Nothobranchius furzeri: one gene and its partner. The main gene of each other region encodes a partner of the protein of the gene in region 2 in a complex. Links are inferred from orthologs where the notes say so. Each region holds a gene or a part of one and is shown on either strand. Other genes may lie near its edges.

What was found. Proteins that work in one complex are often made in the same cells at the same time.
Region 1: mybbp1a (region 2) and dek share a complex: the UniProt entries of both Homo sapiens proteins name them as parts of the B-WICH complex. The link is inferred for Nothobranchius furzeri from reciprocal best matches to the Homo sapiens genes MYBBP1A and DEK.

Annotation. Positions count from the first base shown.
Region 1 is NC_091745.1:58,973,599-58,977,827, reverse strand, and holds the start of dek (protein DEK), read left to right. Parts: upstream 1-1,408; 5' UTR 1,409-1,520; intron 1,521-1,662; exon of another isoform or gene 1,663-1,776; intron 1,777-1,831; exon of another isoform or gene 1,832-1,953; intron 1,954-2,682; 5' UTR 2,683-2,719; coding exon 2,720-2,843; intron 2,844-2,960; coding exon 2,961-3,059; intron 3,060-3,129; coding exon 3,130-3,239; intron 3,240-3,532; coding exon 3,533-3,627; intron 3,628-4,094; coding exon 4,095-4,224; intron 4,225-4,229. UniProt on the Homo sapiens protein: Involved in chromatin organization.
Region 2 is NC_091750.1:52,603,292-52,607,598, reverse strand, and holds the start of mybbp1a (myb-binding protein 1A-like protein), read left to right. Parts: upstream 1-1,466; 5' UTR 1,467-1,542; coding exon 1,543-1,719; intron 1,720-2,308; coding exon 2,309-2,404; intron 2,405-2,516; coding exon 2,517-2,600; intron 2,601-2,685; coding exon 2,686-2,760; intron 2,761-2,847; coding exon 2,848-2,955; intron 2,956-3,041; coding exon 3,042-3,232; intron 3,233-3,314; coding exon 3,315-3,482; intron 3,483-3,643; coding exon 3,644-3,761; intron 3,762-3,860; coding exon 3,861-4,150; intron 4,151-4,216; coding exon 4,217-4,307. Other genes in the region: tbl2 (transducin beta-like protein 2), read left to right, coding at 217-676. UniProt on the Homo sapiens protein: May activate or repress transcription via interactions with sequence specific DNA-binding proteins. Repression may be mediated at least in part by histone deacetylase activity (HDAC activity).

The DNA.
Region 1 (4,229 bases), on a different chromosome or scaffold from region 2:
CTTAGAAGACGGTAATTAGTACGTCAATTTAGTAATTCTGATGTTAAAAACATTAGATGCAACTATCTCAAATTCCCAATCCCTCCTAATGCCAAGGAAGTTTATTTTAAAACTATAAACAGTATTTATCCTTGCAAAGATTTCTTGCTGTCTAAATTTAATATTGGAGAGAACGATTGTGCCTTTTGCACTTCTAATATAGAAACTGAGATACATTTATTTTTCACATGCATCTTTACCAAAATTTTCTGGGATAGTTTTCACTCGTGGTTAACGCATAATAATTTCATTATACGCTCCTTATCTTCGACAGGCGGATTGGTTCGGCATCTGCAGTGATGCGGACGCTGAGCCGATCTGTCGTGGGGAAGAGGGAGCTGAGCCAGAAAGCCAGGCTCTCGATTTACCGGTCGATCTACGTCCCAATCCTCACCTATGGTCATGAGCTTTGGGTAATGACCGAAAGAACGAGATCGCGGATACAAGCGGCCGAAATGAGTTTCCTCCGTAGGGTGGCCGGGCTCAGCCTTAGAGATAGGGTGAGGAGCTCGGACATTCGGGAGGGACTCGGAGTAGAACCGCTGCTCCTCCGGATCGAAAGGAGCCAGTTGAGGTGGTTTGGGCATCTGGTCAGGATGCCTCCTGGACGCCTCCCCGGGGAGGTGTTTCGGGCATGTCCTGCCGGCAGAAGGCCCCCGGGTCGACCCAGGACACGTTGGAGAGGTTACATCTCCAATCTGGTCCGGGAACGCCTTGGGGTCCTGCCGGAGGAGCTGGTGGACAAGGCCGGGGAGAGGACGGCCTGGAGCTCCCTAATTGGGATGCTGCCCCCGCGACCCGGACCCGGATAAGCGGAGGAAGACGACGACGGCTCCTTATCTTTTTCTGACATCAAGTATGTTATTAGTTTGGAAAATAAAATGCAGCAATTCACTGTCAATAATTTGATTATTTTCGCCAAATTCTTTATACACAAATGTAAATTTGGCAATATCAAACCGATCTTTATTGTTTTTTTGAAAGAACTTGCATCCTTCATGGATTCTCTTAAATTATGTAGTTCCAAGAAAGCCATTTGGCTCTATAACAATTTGGTGAATGTTTCCTTTACCCCTAATAATGTTGTTTGATGTAATATATGTATATATTTATTTGGTTATGACTTCTGCAGGTTGATATTGAGCTAGGTTAATATTATTGTTTCTGTTTGTACACCTGCTTTTTTTTGTCATGCTCAGAATTCATCTGTAAATATTGATTCTTATGTAAGCCTGTAAGCTTCATTGGTTAAATAAAACTTGTTAAAAAAAAAAAAACAAAGAGCTCCATTGTGGGGGCTTGGTTTTAGCATAAAGCGATTCCAGTAACGGTAGGGGCCGGTAGTGAGACAACAACGTGACGTCTGCAGCACTCATCCAATCAGCACCGTGGGCGCCGTTGTAGTCCCAGCCCACATAGCATATCGCTCTCATGAGTGACAGGCGGGTTGCGGTTCTGTTTGCTCGGTTCTTCGGGAACAGGTAAAGTTATTGCGTTTTCTTCCCGCCGTAGACGGCTTGCTTGGGGGCATGAAAGCGGAACTTGCTGTGCCTCATCGTGTCGCTGTTTGGTCTGTTGAATCTTGTCGGAGCTAGCTGTGGTGTTAGCTGCAGCGGCTAACCCCGCGCATATTTTCCGCTGCTTAAACTTAACGTTTACATTGCCCGGTAAACCGATGGCTTGACTGAATGACTTCCGCTAACTAACCAATTGGCGCAGCCTTGACGCGGAAGTGAGGTAGTATTTTGAGTTTATTGGTCAGTTTTTCGGCGCGGCTAACTAATCGGCTAAGTTGTTTGAAAGCTATAGTTTCCGCGCGCTTGTCCGCGTGCACATGAAATAAATAAAAAAGATTAAAGTAGTCAGCTGCATGTTACCGTTTCCGCTAATATCAACATCAACTCATGAGGTTAAGTAAGTGTGTGTGTGCGCGCGCGTGTGTATAAGAGGCACCGGACTCCATCCGTCCTTCTTGTTTTTAGAATACAAAGCGTGGTTTTGGTGATCCATTGGTTAACTGTGATCCGTTATCAGACTAGTGACTTATCAGAAGCTTGAACACACTTCGGCACCGGAGCTACCGGACAGAACACTCACTCTGGATCCACAGACCGGATCATGTCTTCATGACTGTTTGTAATCAAATTCATGCTCCTGGGCAACATGAGCTGAAACCTTTACTGAATTAAACCAATTACCATACCAAATTTATTTATAAAAGCACAATAAACAGCGTGAGAGCTGACCACAGCGATGTACACCACAAAACCACACAAAGACCAATAAAACTAAATTAAACAAATACATGTAAAACACATGAACTACACACCACAAAAGTTTGACTTCAGTCTGCTAGTGAAGTAAAGGTCTGACTGCATGTGGTCTAAAGAACAGGAGAAGCTTTTCATGTTGTCTTTTCTTAGTGGGGCGGGCAGGTTTAGTTTATGTGGTGACGTATTTGGGCTCAGACCTTTACTAAAACCAGGGTTTCTTAGACTTTTAACTCAGCTTTGTGGAACAGACCTGTGGATGCGACAGGTGTGTCAGAGTAACTCTGCAAGTGGAGGAGCAGTTGAAAGCTGAGCTTTGCTCTTATTTAGTTAGCTGTAAGCATAGCATCATAAACCTGGTGTGTTCTTTCAGGATCAATTAAACGGGGACTCAAAGCAGCTGTGCAGACATGAGCGACGCGGCGGAGGAAGCGATGGACAGCTCCGTGGGATCTGAGGAGGACGTTGAGGATCAGCAGGAGACAGTGCTGGAGGATGAGACGAGTCCAAACAAAAATAGCTCCAAGAAGTCTGGTGAGGAGAGTTGTCTGATTGCACTGTCACTCGTGTTGGGTTGTTCCTTTCTGGGTTCTGTAAAGGTTTATTTGTCTGGAACAGCTTCAGCATGCTGACATGTTCTTTCCGTTACAGCTGTGGGTGAAATCATCGAAGGGAAGCGAGTGAAGAAGACTGTGGAGAGACTGGATCTCCAGGCGCCAAAAACCAAAGAGAAGTTGAAGATCGGAGATGGTGTGCAACAAAAGAGGTTTAGATGTGTATGAATACAAACCAACAGCTGGTTAACATCTGGTGTTTGCAGGCAGTGGAGATAAACTAGGAGACATCCCTCGAACCAATCATCAGATCACCAGGATGAAGCTGGTGGATCTGAAACAGCTGCACATGCTCCTGTTTGACAGACCGGGAAAGGTACAAACAGCTGAACCGAACCCAGAAAACTGACCTGAGCACAGCTCCAAAATCACCTGTTCATCTCCAACCAGAAAAGTCCCCATTCTGATTGATCAAGTACCCAATGACCACTTTTCAGTAGTTATTTACAGGCAGGTGTCAGCTGCAGGTGGGAGTTATTCATGTGTTCATGTTCAGTAATCCCACAGAAAAATATGTGAAGTAACAAAGGGGAAAAGCACCAGCTTCAGTCTTGAGTTCTTCATAGAAACACCCCAGAGTCAAACGTGAAACTGCTTTTTGTCTCTCAGATGGCCACACTCAAGAAGAACCTGCGGCTGTTCAACGGCTTCCCTTTTGACGTCGACAGCGAGCAATACAACAAGAAACGAGAAAAGCTTCTCAAGTAAGTTCCTGTTAGCTGCCTGACCCGACTGAAGGATAGGACCTACTGGTGATGGCCAGGTGAAGCTGCATGAAGCTTCCATCCCAGTGGTCCAGAAAGAGGCTGGAGATCACGCGTGTGTTTGGTGTGAAGCTGAGCAGATACATGAATGTTTGTAAAGCCAGATGTTTGTTTGGAGTTTTAATTATAAAAAAAGAGCAAGCAGTCTGGCACACACACACACACACACACACACGGAATAAGCAGCACTTTGCTGCTCTTTTTACATTCAGTCTCGCTCAGACCGATGATGCGGGTCCTGGGTTGGGACCATGGCCTGGCCTGCGAGGCTTTAGACACCACCACACATCAGCACAGGCCTGGACACAGGACTCGTCCCTAGCTCCCAGATGTGCAGATATAATTTATGGTTTGTGTTTGAGGGTTCAGTCAAGATCCTTCCATAAACATCCCGCGTATCGTTTCAGAAACTCCAGCTTCACCAACACCAAGCTGAAGGTTGTCTGCACTGTTCTGGATCTGGAAAAGAAAGGAACCCACTCTGATCTGATTGACCGGATTCTGACCTTCCTCATTTCCCCAAAGAACAGCGGGAAGGTGAG
Region 2 (4,307 bases):
GAACTAATGATTCAACACCAAGGGTGTCATCTGATGAGGACACAGTGGGTGTTAAATCGTTAGTTCTGTTTGCACAATGAAGCTTGAAATTCATCAGTGAGATCCAGTTCCTATGTTTGATATCTGAAGCAATCACTCTGCTAAATGGAAAAAACACACAGATTATCTACGACACTTTAATATAACTGATTTGTTTTTCTTTCTTTTATCGATCAGGATGGTCACCGTCTCTAAAGATGGAACGTGGAAGCTGTGGAACACAGATGTAGAGTACAAAAAGCAGCAGGATCCTTACCTCCTGAAGACGGTCCCTTGCTCCTCCTCCGAAGGCAGCAGAGTGGCTTTGTCCCCTGATGGCCGTGTTGTGGCCATCAGCAATGGTTGTAACATAGCGATGTACGATGCTGCCACTGGGAATCTGGAGAAGGAACTGCACGGTGTCCACAGTGAAAACATCTCCGACCTCAGGTTTGACATTAACAGCCGCTTCTTGGTGTGCAGCGGCGACAAGGCTATCAGAGTGTTTCATAATGCGCCAGGCTACCAGGCTGCTATCAAAGACATGCAGGACATGCTGAAAAAAGCCCAGAACGAGGCTATGAAGCAGAGACTGCAGCAGCAGATAAAAGATGCTCAGAGCGCTCTGGACACTGTGCTCACTGCTCGGATCGAGTGAAAGAATGCACAAAGAGCCACCATGTGATTGTGATGTGTCATGTTTTTGTCAACATCCAGTTTCCCTTTTCTGCTCATTAATTTGTGCAGGAAGCAACGGGTTATGCATGCAGTTTTAATAAAGAATACATTTTTATGCAAAGATGAAATGTGTTGTGGATGTGTGTGGTTTGATTTAAAGTTAGGAAACCAAAAACACGGTAATGAAGATGGTCTACAATACCAAAGTGAACGCTCTTGTCACAGCATCATATCACAAAACGAGTAAATGCTTAAAGAGAAAGAATTTACTTACTGAATAATTAAATAAAAAGTGATTTAAAAGTAGCATGGGTTAATTGTCACTAAATTCATATTAAAGTCTGGATTTAGTTTTTGCCAATTGAATAAGAAACATTAGTTATAGTACCTCTCAAGATAAAATTCAGGAGGCGCTTATTGAGGTCTTTGTTAGAAAAACAAGATTAAACCCTGAGAATGCTCTTTCCTAAATAAGCTTCAGTAGCTTTCACTTAGATTTTAACTGAAAAAAAAAGATACAGTCAGAAAAACCCTCAACATCAAGAAGTTTCCATGGATATGGATCTGGCCCTGGTTTAGACTGTTCCACCTTCCCACAAAAAACGCTGATGATCAAAACAAAGTTTATTGAAAGAACAAAAAAATGGGGGTTTACATCATGTTGTCACCGGCGCACGTGGAGGTGCAACTACTGGGCAGCATTCTTTAACGATGAAATCCGAGTCTTGCGCCGGCCTATCGCTAAAGAGCAACCCTCATCTGAATTGACCCGGAAGTGGTTTGTGTCTGTGGAAACACGTTTTCCTCCCGTAGCAGCATGTTGATCAGAGGTGGTTCTGAGAGCAGATGTCTGTAGAGATGGTGGAACTGTTGGTGAAGGCAGCGGAGCCGCTGCGACCGGCCGGGGTTTTACAGCAGAACCGGGTCTTCCTCGACTTCTTCTGGGATTTAGCTAAACCGGATCAGGAGGTCCGACTGAAGGCCGTGGAGAACCTGATCCAGTACCTGAAAACAGAAAACAAGGTGAGAAACTGCCTGGACACGATCCAGACTCAGATGCATTATGTCCTCTGAAGTTAAAGTTTTAGTAAATCAGAATAAAAGTTTTTAGATTCAAATGATTATATCACTGACTAAATTGTCAATTTCTTAATAAAATCGCCTACGTTTTGGTTTAAAAAACTTTTTCTTCATAATTGGACAATAACTCAAAGAAAATCAAGTTTTAACGGACTAAATTAGTTTCTGTTAAAAACAATTTCACTAGTGTTTAACAATCAGCTAAAAGTTCACAACAAAGTAGAAGGCGTTAATTAAATATAAAAATAAAGTATAAAGCAAAGTGCAAGTTTAATACCGGTATATCAAAACAAAAATAAAATGTTCATCAAGTCATTTATACTCAAAGATAAAGACATGAGTTTTAAATGGCCTGTATTTGTATAGCGCCCCCAAGACGCTTCACAGCACAATCACACATTTACACACTGGTAGGGATGAGCTACCATGTAGCCACAGCTGGCCTGGGGCTCTTCTGAGAGTAGTGATGTCTAAATGTTCCCAGTCTCAGTGGTGTGTAGAAAGTTTTACGGATGTTGTTTCTGTCCTGCAGGCCGATGAACTGGATTACACGTTTAAACGTCTGGTGGACGGACTGTCCCACACCCGGGAGACAGCCAGGCCTGGGTTCAGCCTGGCTCTGGGACAGGTGAGGGCACCGCCAGCCCGCTTGATTGGTCGATTCAACTTTAAAGTTCACCAGTTTGTAGAAATCAAAAAACTTCAATGTTTCAAATTAAGCGATAAGTTTCCTCTTTCAGGTCTTGAGTGCCTTTAAGGACGTCTCCCTGCAGAGTATACTGAACAGAATCAAAGAGAAACACAACATACAGGCTGTGAAGAAGGTGAGTTTAGATGCTCAGGACTCCTTTGGCATCAGGAACTTCACTAACGGGCGTTTCCACTCACCAAAATCACGTTGTTTCATAGAAACTTGCCAGAAATGCGATGTTCGGAAACTTGTTTGGCGTCCTCGCTCTTCATCAGTCTGGACGTCTCGCTGAAGTGAGTTGGGAGTTTTTTTTTTTTTTGTTTTTTAAGGTTAACATTCTAAAGAGTCAAAAACACTTATAGCAGCTCTGATCTCTGCAGGAGCCACAGGTGGTGTTGGGATGTGTGACGCTCCTCCAGAGTCTGACTCAGCACAAGCAGCACCTGAAGGACCTGCCCAGTAAAACCATGGTGGACATCCTCACTGAGGTGACCGCTGCGTCCTGGTTGCAGCTTTCCACTTTGTATCAGTTTAACCTCAAAACGCACTCACATGCTGCCCTCTTGGCCTTCAGATCCCAGAGGAGGTGTTCGAGGAGGTCCTGCTGGGCGCCCTGCAGACTGACCTGGCGTCAGCCTTCAACACTCCCGAGCAGCTGCAGCTGCTGTTGGTGGCGCTGCAGCGCTTCCCTCAAACTCTCAAGCCGAAGAAACTCAAGAAGCTGCTGGGCTCCTCCACCATCATTAACGCTGACAACATTCCAAAGTGAGAATTCGGGAATCAGGTCTCAAAATACGCATTCAACCGTCTCCTCCTGCTTATTATCATTAAAAACCTTATCTGTCAGATTGATAGAGGTGTTAAAGATGGCAGCTCACTCTGTGAAGAAGGAGTTAACTCTACCAGCCGTTGCTCTGGACCTCCTGAAGCTCTCTCTGAAGGAGGACAGCTTCCAGCTCTTCTGGAACAAAGCCATCACAGAGGGAATGTTCAGGGAGCCGTTCGGAGTGACTCAGTGAGTTTATTACGAGGATGTGAATGAATCGGACCCAAAACGTGGAAACAAAGCTCTAAAATGTGAAAAGTGTAGTTTTTATTTTCTTGTATGACTTTGTTCTTCCCTGCAAGTGAATTTTTATTCTAACATCCAGCCTTCCCATTGTTGATTCTGTTCAGTTATCTGAGCTTCCGCCTGCTGGGAAGCGCCCTCCCTCTGCTGTCGTTGTCCCAGCTGAAGACGGTCTTATCTGGAGAAGTGATGATGCACTACGGAGAACACGTTCTTGCATCTCAGGTTAGTTCCAGGGTGAATTTTAGATTTCACTCGAATCAGAGGAATAACAAGTGAGGTCTTGGTGAGCTGTAGATCTGGATGGCTGTTTTTCTTTTCCAGAAACCGGGCCGCTTCAAGCTGGCCCCGGAGATGGACACCTACGTGTTGGACTTCCTGCAGGCCTGTCAGGACTCAGACAAGCAGCTGGCGGTCATGGTGGGCTTCTCCTCGCTGACCCACTTGGGTTTGCCTGTGGTGTTGCCAGTGTGGAAGGTGGTGCAGCATCTTCAGCCTGCAGCCTTGCAGAGCTACGTGGAGTGGCTTAAAGGAATGTTTCTTCAGCCTCGGATGGAAGAGCTGCTGGACTTCAGCACCCGCAAGCAGAAGGGCAAGCAGGAGGGTGGAGAGCAGTGAGTTTATACGCCCGCTTCTTTAGCTGACTGAAAAAACACCTTTTAACTCTAATGCTCCTTCAGGAAGGACAGCGCCGTTTTCCACCTGAGGAGGTGGATTGTTTCTCGACTTGCCTCCATCATCGACAACAGTCAGGTGAAGAAGCAGGAGGAT